Lepisosteus oculatus: one gene and its partner. The protein of the gene in region 2 binds, or shares a complex with, the protein of the main gene of each other region. Links are inferred from orthologs where the notes say so. Each region holds a gene or a part of one and is shown on either strand. Other genes may lie near its edges.

Region 1 (7,088 bases), on a different chromosome or scaffold from region 2:
AAAGCTGCCACAAGCAAAAACAGGACTCACCGATTTTTGGGTGAGGCTATTTTTTGAGATTAGAAATAAGTGCCACTGATACCTTTTAAGCTACACAGTCATAAAACATAGTGACATTTTAAAATATCTGTTGTCTGGGGGGAACCAATTTGAATTTTATTTTCATTTAAGCTTAAAAAAACTTCACTGAAAAATACTTAAAAATAAAGGATTTGGCCTGACAAAAACAATTACTGTACTTATAGTCTCACCTCACCATCTCATTCTGTTTAATGCATCAGTCCACACATCTATTTCCCTCTTCAAATATAATTCAAGAACAAATAATAGAGACTAGAGACTACAAGATTAGATTATTTGATTACATTATTTTGATCTAGACTGATTAAGCTTTTCTTCCCTTAATTGGCATGAAAACTGATTCTACCAGCTGCTTTTCAATAAAAAAATGATAGTTTGTAATGCATAGTATTTATACTGTATTTAATTACCTATTTTTGGTCCCACTATAGAACCTTATCAACACCAGTTATCTGAGTGATTTCATAATGTTTTGATAGATTTAATAATCTGGTACTGTATCAAATCTAAAAATGAAACTTGCAAAAACTTTAGAACAAGAATACATTTGATATGGGTTTAATAATAACAATAATAAACTCTAGTACGATCTTAATCGAATCCCATTCTGTTTTACAGCTACAGCCCTTTATCTAAAAACATTTTTGAGAGACTAAAAAGTGAATAATTTGGGGGGATAGTTAAGCAGCAAAGGCATAAATGTGGAAAAATACAAATAAGGATCTCATTTGATGAAAAGTAAAAAAACAACATCCCTATTCCTTATTGTTTTTAAAGAAATGTCATTGTGATCTTAAATTAAGATTGTGTGTTCTATTATTCAAGGACACTTTAATCTTACAGAATATAGCAAAAAAAAACAGAAACATTAACATTAAAATATCCTTTACTATTTAGAAAAGATTTACAACAGTGATATTCCAAAATTTGGAACTTCTTTTGGAGAATACAGTCAAAAATACCTAAGCAAAAGAGACTCCAGGAAGTCTTAATCAACTGTTCATAATAATGAACTTGCTTACATCAAGATTTTTGGACATTTTTACTAGTGATAAAATACAGAAGCGTAAAAAATCTCTCAACATTTTCCTGAAGACTAGTAAATAACTGACACTATGAAAATTACAATATTATAGCATCAGCATAGTCAATCTGGAGTGTGTTGGGATGATATCAGAGAACGTTGGTGAACACTCTTTATCTTCATACAGTACTTCATACACTGCACCTTTCCACCCTGTGTCAGACTACCCACCATACAGCCCAAGCAAATCACTTCAACTTTCATATCATACTGATGTTAGAGCGAAATTTAGTAGGTAAGTTAATGTCCAGAAACTGCAGGATACTGTACAGTATATGCTCAGAAGACATTGTATGAAGGTTTCTTTTCTTCTTTTCTTTACAGTCCACCATACTGTAAAGTAAATAATTGAAAAATATATATTCCATAATAATACTTAATAATTGCTTACACTTATATAGCGCTTTTCTGGACACTGCACTCAAAGTGCTTTACAGGTAATGAGGACTCCCCTCCACCACCACCAATGTGTATCCCCCTCACCTGGATGATGCAACGGCAGCCATAGTGCGCCAGAATGCTCACCACACATCAGCTATCAGTGGGGAGGAGCACAGAGTAATCAAGTCAATTCAAAGATGGGGATTATTAGGAGGCCATGATTGGTAAGGGCCAATGGGAAATTTAGCCAGGACACCAGGGTTACACCCCTACTCTTTTAGAGAAACACCCTGGGATTTTTAATGACCACAGAGAGTCAGGACCTCAGTTTTACATCTCATCTGAAGGACGGCGCCTGTTTACAAAGTACAGTAGTATCCGTCACTATACTGAGGCATTAGGACTCACATAGACCACATGGTGAGCACCCCCTACTTGCCCCACTAGTTGTTCCCAGGAGGTCTCCCATCAAGGTACCGACCAGGCTCACACCTGCTTAGTTTCAGTGCGTTGCCAGTTGTGAGTTGCAGGGTGATATGGCTGCTTACTAAAAAAATATTCTAGAATAATTATTTTTCACCCAAGAATATGCTTTAACATTTTAATTCAGTATCATGTTGGAGAAGATTTGCATTTCCTTTAATGTTCTTTAGGCAATACCAATGTTGCTACTACAACAGCGTGGCCAGATTTGTGCGTACTGTATGTGCATGGAATTTGGTGTGTCGCCGTGCACAAACTATCAGTAACTTAATGAATTGATCACATCAACGCTGACAGTTTTGTCAAAAAACCCCAAGCAAGGTTCTTCTAACAAAACCACTATCATATGGAACAGGATGGCCTTGTGTTGTACCACTCTGTGGTACAGTTACCTGTAGATGTAGATCTGCATTAGCAGTCAGCACAATCGCAAATTTATCACGTAAAGAAACTGGGTAATGGGTTAGATTTAACAATCCAGTTCTCCAAAATCTGAACATTTCTCAATTCTTGAATTGTAGTGACACCTGCTGGCCGTAAGCTAATACAAAATTACGCATCTGAAGTAATAACGAAGCTCCTGTTCCCAGGGGACCTCTTTGATGTGTGCTGGTTTTTGTTCTAGCTAAGTTCCTAACCACAGCCTTAATTTGGATTTTTAAGTTATATTTATTTAGATTGCTTTTAACTTCTGATTGGGATTTTAATTAGTACGTTGATTTGACATCTGCATAATCATACTTCTAACCATGCTCTCTACGTTTTCAAGGTAAATATACTGAAGCGAATGTAATATAATTAACTATAATGACCTTAAGAACAATATCACGTGTGTCTAATTTAGAAACCGGGTACATTGTTAATAGGTTAATTGACTACTAGGGTCAACTAGAAGGCACAAGACCCTCCAGAAACTGGAATTTAAGAGCCCTGATCTCGCATATCTGAATCAAGGGAGTTTTGAACCTCAGAATTTCATTACATGTACTGTAATTAGACCACGTATATGCCCGAGAACGTAGGGAGAACGAAAACACTAGGACTAAGAAATCAGGAAATGAACTTGACACCATGTGTTAACTGAAATTTAACTTATTGGAGTTAGGCGAAAGAACAAAAATCAAATACACATCGTGGGAGTGTTTTTTATTTCCCATTTCCACTTATGTGGGTATATTATTAATTGTTCACCCCATTAAGAATGATTTTATTGAAAGGAATGGTCCAAGATACAGTATTTAAAACGAGTTTACAGTCTGGTTAATTTTTTAAAGGCTGAAGTGGCCGGTAAAACAGAAATAGCAGAACAACCACAAGCAGATAAATAACAATTGCGCTCCCGCACCTCTGTTCATTTCATTTATATCACCCGAATTTGTGTTAATGTTAAAGACGTCAATAAGATGAACAATGCAGAGGATAAAACACTTAAGAAACTTGAATGCTTTATTTCTAAGTGTTATCAATGAAATGCCAGCTTTTGCATGTTTATAGACTACATTTTCAAAATACCATTGTGCTTGAGTCTTTAAATATTATACTCGTTTAAAGCACATAATGTGCCCCTAACTTGTTTTTATTCAGATCTTTTTTTTAGTTGAATTTTAAAATCCGTCAAAACATTAACAAAAGAATAATTTTCGACATGCACAAGAAAAAAAAATAAGTTATTTTTTTTTACTTTATAAAGAACGTCCGTGACCCTGATTTGGATAAGCAGTTATTGAAATTATGTTTCTAAATTAGCGTTATGCGTTGCTTTAATGTAGATTATATTACTATGCATCCTTCACCAACATGGCAGCCAACTTGCTTCGAGGAGCGAGCCCGCAGCCTCGCGAGAGCTGTGGTTCTTCCACGCTGTCAATATTCCTCCGTGAGGGAGGGGTGAATGGAATCAGGTCGGCTGGTGTCGTCAGTTCCGCTCGGTGTCTTCAGGCAGAAGGGGGGCGAATAACAGCAACAAGAAGTCGGAGGTGGAGAGGGGGGGGCAGCTGGCCAGTCATGCAATAAAACAATATATAACAAGATACTAATTATTAACAGGTACTTTTGTACCTTTTCTATTATCGCCGCGTTGAGGAAAACAGCCGGAAACAATTGGCTTCCACCAGCTTGCCGTCTAATTCAGAAGACGGATTCACACACTGGTAAGAATAGCATTACTTTATATATATATAGCTCATCTGATTTTTTACAAGCTGCACTGAGCATGTTGGCAATGCAGGTCTTGGACGATTTGACACATTAAAGAGGTTGCAGTAACATATAAAGGTATTGCACATATAAAGGTGCTACTTGCACATCGGCTTTTTTTGTGGGCCTCTCCAGACTGACACCGAAACCTGGAATTGTGACCCTAGTTAAACTGGATCGTTGTGGTAGCAGAAAGACATGAATTCAGGTTGAGTTCCCAGAACAAAATTCACATATTTTGTCTCCTTTGCGCTGCAGTATGCATATGTAGGACGGCACTGGGCGCTCGTCCGTTACGTTAAATTCCCTGTAACTGTACAGCTCTGTTTAATGCTTCATTGAGAGAAACTGTATGGTGGATTTAAATCGCAAGGTACCATGGTTGCTACATGATTTTTTCACGCCCGGCTCGGTTTTGTTTCTGTTATCCACCTGCAGTTGCACTTACTGGAGCCGTGGTATCCGCTGAGCAAGGTGACAACGGACAAAGCGTTCTTGTTGTGCAAATATATACTAATTTCGCATCGAAAAACAAATCGACGAGTGACAGCTGTTTCAGAGCACAAAGGACTTAGGTATTTCTTGTATGCACAAGCGTTTTCTTTTTATTAGCTCAGACTTGATAGCACTTAGAATGCATAATGCTGGTAAAACAAGCACTATACTTTGAAGGCTTGTTGAATTCTTGAATTTCACCGGTCACTCGCATCTCGTGTCGAGTTACAAATGTGCGCCTGCCTATTGAGTGGCTGTCGTCCGAGGCCTGTTGTGCTTTTGTGGCGTTGGTGTGTTGGCGTTTTTGGTGTTGACAGTGTGAGAAACTCCTTCTTCGTGCTTGCACTGCAAGTTATCTGTTGAAATAATTTAGTCAGTCCTGAGAGGTTGCTAGTTGCACCTGAAAAATTAGGACACCATGTGCTGCACAGATCGGGCGGCGCTTGTTGATATAAGTTATATATTATAACCAAGCTTATTAATTTTCGTATCTCATGTTCTATGAACCAGGTAGTTTATACAGTGTACGTGAAGTGTGTTTGCGTTTCCTGTATAGAGACTTACCAAAAGCACTGGTAATTATGTGGTGATGTGGCCTTCAACTGGGATGGCTTTGCATGTTACATTTGCTGCCCGAAGACCGGTTTTGACGGTGACGCCGGTGAATTAAGTGACTATAAAGTCCCAAACTGGATTTTTTTTGTGTTGATGGTACCACTGAAATGATACAGTATAAATTCATACCCATCTAGTGATTGAAGGTGAATTTATACTTTTGACTTGCTTACCTATGCAGTATTCATACAGTACCTGCCCGTTTTCTCCTTCTTCAGCAGTTATCAATGTCTTTGATTTCTCTTTCCTTCAGTGATTTGAATACTTACTGTACATAACCCACTCTGGTCAGTGTAGGCTTATTTTGTACTTGTTTATTGAAACTTTTTCTCAGAGCACATTTCTCAGATCCACACCACTGTGTGTTAATTTGAAACTACTGTGGCTATACATTATACATTTTTACTTGGCCATAGGCACTCTAAAACACCTTCCTGAAGGTAGCAGTTGGAAATGGAATAAAGAGGATGGGAGGGGTCATCAATGATTAGCTGAACTTTCCTTTGAACAGCAGTATAATAAAGCTCTTAAAACTGTTTCTGTGGTTGACCAGTTATTTTACTAGCAATATTAACAATTCTGTCCAGTTTCTCTTTACTCTTAATGCTCAGGCTGCCATACCACACTGTGATAACAAAAGTAAGGATGCTTTCTACTAACATTTTATAAATCCTCTCTAAAACATTTTGACTCAACTAAAACCCTTTCAATTTCTTAAAAATGCAATTAGTATTTAATACAAAGTTTAAATGTTCATCTATTACTGTTCCTAGGTATTTGAAACACTGAACAACCATTATAGTTGAAAGCATTTACTGTCACAAGTTGCCAGTTATTTGATTATATCAACTTTGACCTTATTTATTTTTCCAAGTTTCCTGCCTAATACTAAATAGAAACATAAGTGTTTTTGTGATGTTTTTCATATTAAAAAAGAATATAACTATAATAGTTAATAATAATAATATTTTTATAGTTCTATCTATGTTAGGACTTAGACCTATATGAAGGTCATATACTGTATGTCTAAATATGTTAAACCATGACATTTTAAGGGGTGTACTTTTTCGTCATACTGTAAGTTATAACTACATACTGTAGGTTCGTTCATGTTGAATTCAGGATACAGCGCCTAGTTGTTTGTTTGACACTAACATTTGCAAGTAAAAGCACAACGATAGGTTTACAGTAGTTACAGTTTTGCTTCAGGCAGTTGTGCCTTGTGGTGTTTCATATTTGAGAACTGAAGGCACAAACCTGCTGGGGTACATTGTCACTCTTCATTGATCAGGTCACTTAAAGACTTCTTTGTGCCCAGTATTTAATCATTATTAGTGCTTCATGAGAAATGAGTGTAGGGGGTGGGGGTGGGGTTACCTAGAGGTAAAATGAATGGGAGTTTAAATTTGCTGGTGTAAGAGGAGTCAGTGACCCTCTTGCAGCAACCTCCTATGTCTCCTGATGTGTTGAGCAGGCGATTTCAAAGATCACAGACTCAGGCAACTTTATTTTAAACCTCCAGCACATAATGTAATATGTATGTCATAGGTCTGTGAATCTACAGGGGAATCTTCAGATCTTTGAGAACTTTAAAACTGCTGGGGGATTTCAAGTGTTACAAGAGTAACACTAATGAGAGGTTCAAGAGTGACACGGAGGGGAAGGAGGTGGGAAAGTGATGGAGAGGTCTGTGGTTTGGGAGGAAGTGAAAATAAAGGTTAGACTTTGAGAGGTTGGGTTTAATTTAATGAGA
Region 2 (7,735 bases):
GCACAACCATAACAAAGATAGAAATCAGATGAGTCTGATTTTATGATAAAGTATTGTAGCACTTTCAGGTTCACATGGGTATGTGCCCTCACTGCTGCCATCTCAGGTCAGCCCTCCACCACTGGGGGCTTGAACCCGGGACCCCGGCATCACTCAATAGGGACCCAGCCAGCTGAGCTAAAGGTAGATCTCCCCTCAGCCTGGCAGCTGCGGTCCCTGCTATTCACAGGGAAAGGCGGTGCATCACCGCGCTGGTAAGCCAGCTCGCACAACCTAATGTTGCCCGTATGTGTTACAATACTGTATGTATTCAATTCAGTGTTCTATCCAGTAATATTAATACAAAGAGGGAAGACCATGTCTTCAGGGATGATGTTAAAGACCATATTGTTTGGCATGTTGGAGCCAGAAATGTTTGGATTAATCAAAACAGAAAAGCATTGTGAAAGTACTCCAAAATGTGTTTCAGTTGTACAGACAGAACATCATTTCTTGATGCAAAAAAACATCCCTAGGCGTAATTTGTTTGCTATAGATATGTTCCCAAAAAGGAATTAAAAAAGCCATTTGATTCAAATAGCTTAGGCAAAATCTATAGATATATTTGGCCTTGAGCTGGGAAGCTTTTAGATTCTTTGGGTCCTTTATTGCAGACTCTCAACTGGAGGATTTGTGTAGGAGCATGAATAAATTAAATAATAATAAATCATTATTTAAAAGATTTTAAAAACTATAGCTTTAATAAAAATGTGAGAGTATCTTCATGCATTCCTCTTCATAGTACTTTACACTTAGTTTAAACTACTGAGTGAGCTAGGTTTCATACAGACAGCAAGGGGCAGTTCTTGTCACGATTGTGATCCCTCCTCTTAAGGGCGCTCCGGTTCTTTCTTATTTTGCTAATTACGAGCACCTGCCCCCAATCCTGCCCCTCCATATTTAATCCTGGTGCTCTCGCGCCTCAAATGTTATTGTGGGTGGCTCTTGTAAAAAAAAAGCCTCATGAAACATGTATTTCAACATTTTATGCATTTAAGAAGTTGAGCTCGGCAATTAGCTTTCATCTATAAAATTTAAATAGAAAACTTGCTTTCTGTTTTAAAATGCGCATTTGAAAAATTATTGGATTTGGCACTGGGGAACTACAATCAATGAAACAGTTTCTTCCTCAGTAACAGTTCAAAATAGCCTCAGGGAAAACAGTAATTCTTTAAAATAACTGTTCACAAATTTTGTTTCCCTGTTGGTACTGTAGGTTTGCTCTTTGGATGGCAAGCATAACTTATTCTCAGAAAATTCAGAAGAGGAGCTAAGGAGAATTGTTTTGTGTGTGTTCAGATTCTTCTCCACTGCTGTGGGAAACATGAACCAGAGGACACAAGCGACAACTGTGTGGAAGTGTAGTCAATACTGAGAGCACTCCTTTACCCTAAGTGTTGTGGGAGTGTGGAGCAAGCTACCCAACTTTGTTATTGAAGCAGGTACCGTGGCTTCTCTCAACAAATAGCTGAATGAGATCTTTGGATCTTATTCAATACAAACTACCAGACAGGACAGCCGGGCTTGATGGCCTTTACTTATTTGTAAGCTCTCTTAGGTTCTTATGTTCTGTGTAAACATGAATCTCTTCAAATCTGTCACAGGAGGAGAGAGAATGAACACTAAGAAGAGCACAGTGAGCGTGTTTAAAATCATGTTTTGAGACCAAAGCATAAGCAGTTCACATTTGTATTTTAGAATTGAATACCCAATAACAAATAAACCTAAAATTAAGGTTCCAATATTCTTGCTGTAACTCTTTAGGGCAGTGTATGTTTTTTTTTAAGTTAAAGGCCATATATGTATTAATATTCATAAATCAAAATCTTTGAAAACTGTTACAACATTTGACGAAAGCAATAATAAAAAGGATTCACCCGGCTACTGACATTGTGATAAGTAAAAATAATTGAGGACAAAATATAACTTCTTCTGAACTTCTAGCAGTATGAAGCAATATTTGTGCTCACATCAGTATCGACAAGTTTTGTGAAAAAATATCCATCCATTTTTTGACTGTTTTATCCTGTACAGAGTCACGGGGGAGCCAGAGCCTGTCCTGGCAAGCAGTGGGCACGAGGCAGGGTACACCCTGGACAGAATGCCAGTCCATCACAGGACACACACTCTCACACACCCTGGACAGGTCACCAGTCCATCGCGGGACACACACACACTCACACACCCTGGATAAGACGCCAGTCCATTGCGGGACACACACACTCACACACCCTGGACAAGACGCCAGTCCATCGCGGGACACACATATACAGTGTAAGAAAACTGAAATAAAAAAAAGATGGTTATAATCATTTTGGTAGTCTGGTGAATACCTAAAAAATAAAGGGTAACAGATCATCTACAGAATTGTCAGTACTGATTGTGTTCAATCAGCATGAAAAGTGTGAGATGGTTGCTTTTCTTTAAATATTATACTGTATAAAATACAGTTCATTATTATTACTCATTAATATAAAACTGTAATGTTTTGGACTGCTTGTTTGTTCACAAGATTACAGAACAAAAGATAAAATAATCTATATTTTTCCTATCTCGATTTGTCTTTATTAACATTTTTCCCCAACAATATCATTTTCACACATGGACACATCTGGCACATGTCAAGCGATTTTCATCTTTCATGCCTCAGTCTTCTCTTTCCAGTTCAAGAGGCACCAGGCTGACTGCTGACTTTCTCACAAACCATCGCTCTGAATCTCTAGTCTGTGAGAGCAGAGCGTGTGGACAGCAACCTCAAGGCTGAAACTGTAATGTGAAGAATTTACAACTTTAAAAGGAAATGTAAAATATATGTCTTACCTTCACAACTAGCCCTTAAACCCCAAAAAAGAAAATAAAACAGATGAATCCTCTCATTTCACAAGGACTGTGATAGAGTGTAAGTGTTATGTAGCTGAATAGGTATCAATTTTCCTTTATACAGCTGAAATGAGGAAAGCATGCAGAACTTGATCTTTTTTAATCAAATGTCCACTGTGGGAAGTTATTGTATATAAAAGGTACTTGATGCTTCCTTAGGAACATACTGTAAGTTTAAGGAAAGGTACTGTAACTGCTGAAACCATGTAGTTAGTAAAATTCAAAATCTCTGAGACCATAATAATAATAATAATAATAATAATAATAATAATAATAATAATAATAATAATAATAATAATAATAATTATTAATAATAATAATAATAATAATAACAGCCTGACTATTGTGTAGTGTAACTCCATTCTGACCAAACATTAGTAACAATATCTGAAGAAAGTTTCCAACAGGAAAGTTTTCTTCTGTGACTCACAGAGAAGCCTTGTCAGTCTGCAAATACCACCACACAAAGGATGTCTAATGTAGTTTGAGTGATATGGTTTGGTTATGAAGGACAAATTATTGTACCAAAAATACCTCATTACCTGAAAAGCGCTATATAAGTGTATGGAATTATTATTTGTCTAATAAATACAGTATATATGTTCATGTAATAATATAGAATATACTGTATACAGTACGTGACAAATACATGATTTATGAGTTTTGCTTTTAGAAGAAGTTGAAATGTAGTGCACAAGTAATAATAACAGAAAAGCATATTTGTATTTAGTACAGAAGGTTAAATGATTTAAAAGTAACGTTAGATGCCACAGATCACAGACATCACTGAAATGGGGAAAAGTAACTAGAATAACAAGAAGAAAAAATCAGAGATGGACAACAGAACTGGATGAGTGGTTTCTCATTTATTTTTAGGTCATTTTTAATTTTTAATAGATTTTTACCAATAATTTCTAAGTTGTAGTTCAACATGTTTAAATTTATTAAGTCAATTTAGCTTGCAGGAGTTGAACTGCTACTTAATTCTAGTTGATGAAATGCTATATCATACCAGACATGGCATTGTACAAACGAGGATATTTCTACAAAGTCTACTTTGTACAAAAATATGTGCTGTGGATATCTGAAAACGCTGTTTTCTTATATATTTAATCAACAAGATTAGATACACCCAGTAAGACTGTGTCGAACTGAACAGTATGATTTCAAATAAGTGAAAATATGTGCACAAAATGTAACTTTACTGTAGCAAAATTGTAAAAGGACTTTGTTTAAATACAAGCAGGTGCGGTACTTCTGATACTTATTTCTGGTTGCATGGTCTTGATCACGTGTCCGAGGTACTTGTCATTTTGCCATGCGTTTACGGAAGTGAGTGTAAACCTTACAATGAGCAGCACTTTCCTTCAAATATCTTTCAATAATACAAAAAAAAATACACACGCCTATGCATAGTCAGAAACATAATAACTAAGGAATACAACTTGCGTCTACCGTAGAGTATTTAAACCTGTTTTAAGAACATCGTATTTTGAGGAACAGGTTCATGCATTTGTCGAATCTGGTCTCCTTAAGCGTTAGATAGCTGTGTTGCAGGTCAGTGACACGTCACTGTCTGCAGGGCACTGCTGGACAGGAGCATCACAACAGCAGCTGGAAATACAAACCTACAGCAAACAAGACATGGGTAAGCTGTCAGATAACTCTCCAATCGCAAATTGAAACGGGATGCGTGCAGTAAGGTTAGATCCACCGAATGAACGTTGTGCCGAGTAACGGATGTGTGCGTTTTTCAGTTACCAGGAAACGAAATGGTCGACTGCTGATCGATTCATATTCAGTGAGGGTTAGTCTGTTGCTTGGGAAGGGCCACTTAAAATCGTTACTCCTTCGACAGGTTCAGAAGAATGCGGCGGTTCCTGGGGTCTGTGGGTCAAATTAGTTTTCAGGTGTAAGGATAGGACTGACACTGTACCGTAGTATTAACACCAGATGCACGTTGGTTACTCCTACAGGTTTTGATATATGAGTAAGGTAGATTAAAGCAGTAAATAAACAGATAGATACTTTATTGATCCCGTGAGGGAAATTGCAGTGCAACAGCAGCTTTACTTTAAGCTGTTTAAACGTTCTTATTTCTAAGTTCAAATAAATGATTTAAAAAACAGTAGCAAAACAGCTGATGAGGCACCTACATAGTTCATCCTAGAGACGATTTTGTATTGTTTCGTGTTGTAATGGTAAATTTAAGAGCGTCTAAAAACATTTTGTTATTGTAGAAATACAATATCTGTAATTGTTTCGGATTAATGCCGATTTGTACGTGATTAAAAAGATTAGCAGAGATCACGATATGTTTTTTTTTTTACTGAAAGGATCTCTTAGAAGACTAGGAAACTATGGCTGACTGTGTGGGACTAATATTTGTATTACAGTTTACTGAAAATGTGGGTGTTGACTGTGAGTTAATACCGAAATCGTTGTCAGACGGAACAACCTCCATCCTTGCAAATGAAGCTGATTGTCAAGTGTTGGACTAGTGGGGAAAACGATGAGAAAATCTGATTTGTGTGTGTTATCCTAAAACTCGCCTTCTCTGGACAGTCTTCCCTTATTGTTGTCTGAGAGGCGGTTGTTTTGTTTTTGTGGAGTGGAAAATAAAAAAACTCAGGAGCTGAAATCCGCCTCAGGTGGGGGGGGGAACAGATCTGAAAATACACTGTGCTGCCCAAAGAAAACAAATGGTGCTGAGAGGAGCATGTGGTGATTGATTTCCTTTCAACATTAATCAACCTGATCGATTTCCTCTCTCCCTCTTGCTGAAGGTGGCTTCTTCTCCAGCCTGTTTTCCAGCCTGTTTGGGACCAGGGAGATGAGGATCTTGATCCTGGGGCTGGACGGAGCTGGGAAGACGACTATCCTGTACAGGCTGCAAGTGGGAGAGGTGGTGACAACGATTCCCAGTGAGTAGCCGAGCCGCCTGTCTGCTTGTTGTGCCTCGGAGGAAAGGTTTACTGCAGTCCGAGGAAGATTGCAGTGTCATGGGGCTCCTGGCACAGTAGCAGCCACACAAGCTTTTCCTCATCACCGTACACACACTGTATAGTCAGTGTTAGTTTCTGCCCATTCAGTTTCAGAATGAACAATTTTGTTCACTAGATCATGCCATGCACACAAATATACAGTTATACAAATGATCAGAGCAGTGGAACAAGTAATAGGTTTATTCCCTGCTGAAAAGAGAAGAAAGAAAACACAACGTTTCTTGAAGCTCTTCAGGCTTCTTATCTATTACAAATCATCTGCTATTTGTGATAGATAAGAGCTAAGATAAGATCACTTTATTGGCCATATGCAGTATCTTGCATTAGGAATTAGCTTGCTCTACATGAGACACACAGACAGGGAGAGAAGCTTGGGGTCAGAGCGCAGGGTCAGCCATTTATACGGCGCCCCTGGAGCAGTTGGGGTAAAGGGCCTCGCTCAGGGGCCCAATGGAGTAGGATTCCTCTGCCGGCTTTGGGATTTGAACCAGCAACCTTCCAGCCACAGGCGCAGATCCTGAGCCGCTCCGCCCCGGTGTTAATAGCTTTGTTCTGCCTGTCTGCGCAGCTGAAATAACTGCACATTTTTGATTCAATTTTTCTTTTACTAGCTATTGGTTTCAATGTCGAAACAGTAACGTATAAGAACCTTAAATTCCAAGTCTGGGACCTTGGAGGACAGACAAGTATAAGGTAAGTTACTTTTGATTTTGGCACCCGTACAGGAGAAAGAAAATGCTCATTCTATGTTAGGCATCACCTACAATCTTGGAGATTAATGTTTTTAAACTTGTGGAAGATGCTGAGGGGACATGTATTGTACAAATTAAAGACTTAAAACCACTCCTCGATGTACAGCATATTCATATAAAAATTCACGTGGGTAGCTGCATCAGCATGCGTAGGCTGCAAAGGAACAAGTAATAGGTTTATTCCATGCTGAAAAAAAGAAGAAAGAGAACATAACGTTTCGGCCGTGGAGCCTTCTTCAGGTGTCTTCCTCAGGCTCCACGGCCGAAACGTTGTGTTCTCTTTCTTCTTTTTTTCAGCATGGAATAAACCTATTACTTGTTCGTATAAAAATGTTCATCATACATTTTTGAATTTTACATGGAAAGTGTATTAGTTGTGTGAGAGCGGGAGTTCTCAAAATGCAATCAACAGTCGCAGGCATGCAAAAGAGAGGTTTTGGAGAGACAGAAGTCTTCTGCTGACTGTGTCTTACAACAAAGTCCACCACAGGTCACTGTAATGAGTTTTTTCTCCAGCAGAATGGCTTGAATTGGGTGGATTTGGTGTTTACTCATTCTTGTTGGCTGTCATCTGTCCTCAGACCGTACTGGCGCTGTTACTACTCCAACACGGATGCAGTGATTTATGTAGTCGACAGCAGCGACCGGGACAGAATGGGAATTTCCAAATCGGAGCTCGTGGCCATGTTGGAGGTATGGAAAGCAGTGGGAAAAAATCATGAGGTCATTCTCAAACTGAGCTCTTTCACTGTTGGTTTCCTTCCGATGTTTTTTCATTGTTTGTTCCACAGAGATGTCGTCTTAATTTGCTTTTGGTATTGGCCACAAAATCTTCTGCCTCAGGTTTCCCAGGCACCTGTCCGCAGCTGGAGAGCAGTTCCTGTCTTAATGCCTTTCTGTCCTTGGCTTCTTATCCTCCAGCATTTTCTAAGCCCTTTATCCAGGACAGGGTCGCAGGGGAGCTGGAGTGCGAGGCGGGAAACGCCCCGGATGGGACGCCAGTCCATCGCAGGACAGACTCGTTCACACTCGCACCCAGGGCAGATTTTCCCAGAAGCC

What was found.
Region 1: the proteins of arl1 (region 2) and arfip2b are in contact, whole or in part, in a crystal structure (PDB 4DCN), measured with the Homo sapiens proteins. The link is inferred for Lepisosteus oculatus from reciprocal best matches to the Homo sapiens genes ARL1 and ARFIP2. Residues at the interface, in NP_001168.1 of Homo sapiens: Glu17, Arg19, Gln38, Ile46, Ile49, Gly50, Phe51, Asn52, Val53, Glu54, Thr55, Gln64, Trp66, Ile74, Tyr77, Cys80, Tyr81; in NP_001363487.1 of Homo sapiens: Phe205, Thr212, Lys216, Thr217, Asp220, Asp278, Ile281, Lys282, Phe285, Leu286, Glu288, Asn289, Lys292.

Annotation. Positions count from the first base shown.
Region 1 is NC_090700.1:16,365,531-16,372,618, reverse strand, and holds the start of arfip2b (arfaptin-2b), read left to right. Parts: upstream 1-3,943; 5' UTR 3,944-4,179; intron 4,180-7,088. UniProt on the Homo sapiens protein: Plays a role in constitutive metalloproteinase (MMP) secretion from the trans Golgi network. May have important functions during vesicle biogenesis at certain cargo subdomains, which could be predominantly utilized by secreted MMPs, such as MMP7 and MMP2.
Region 2 is NC_090702.1:54,564,193-54,571,927, reverse strand, and holds the start of arl1 (ADP-ribosylation factor-like protein 1), read left to right. Parts: upstream 1-4,459; 5' UTR 4,460-4,563; coding exon 4,564-4,567; intron 4,568-5,705; coding exon 5,706-5,843; intron 5,844-6,535; coding exon 6,536-6,617; intron 6,618-7,257; coding exon 7,258-7,369; intron 7,370-7,735. UniProt on the Homo sapiens protein: GTP-binding protein that recruits several effectors, such as golgins, arfaptins and Arf-GEFs to the trans-Golgi network, and modulates their functions at the Golgi complex.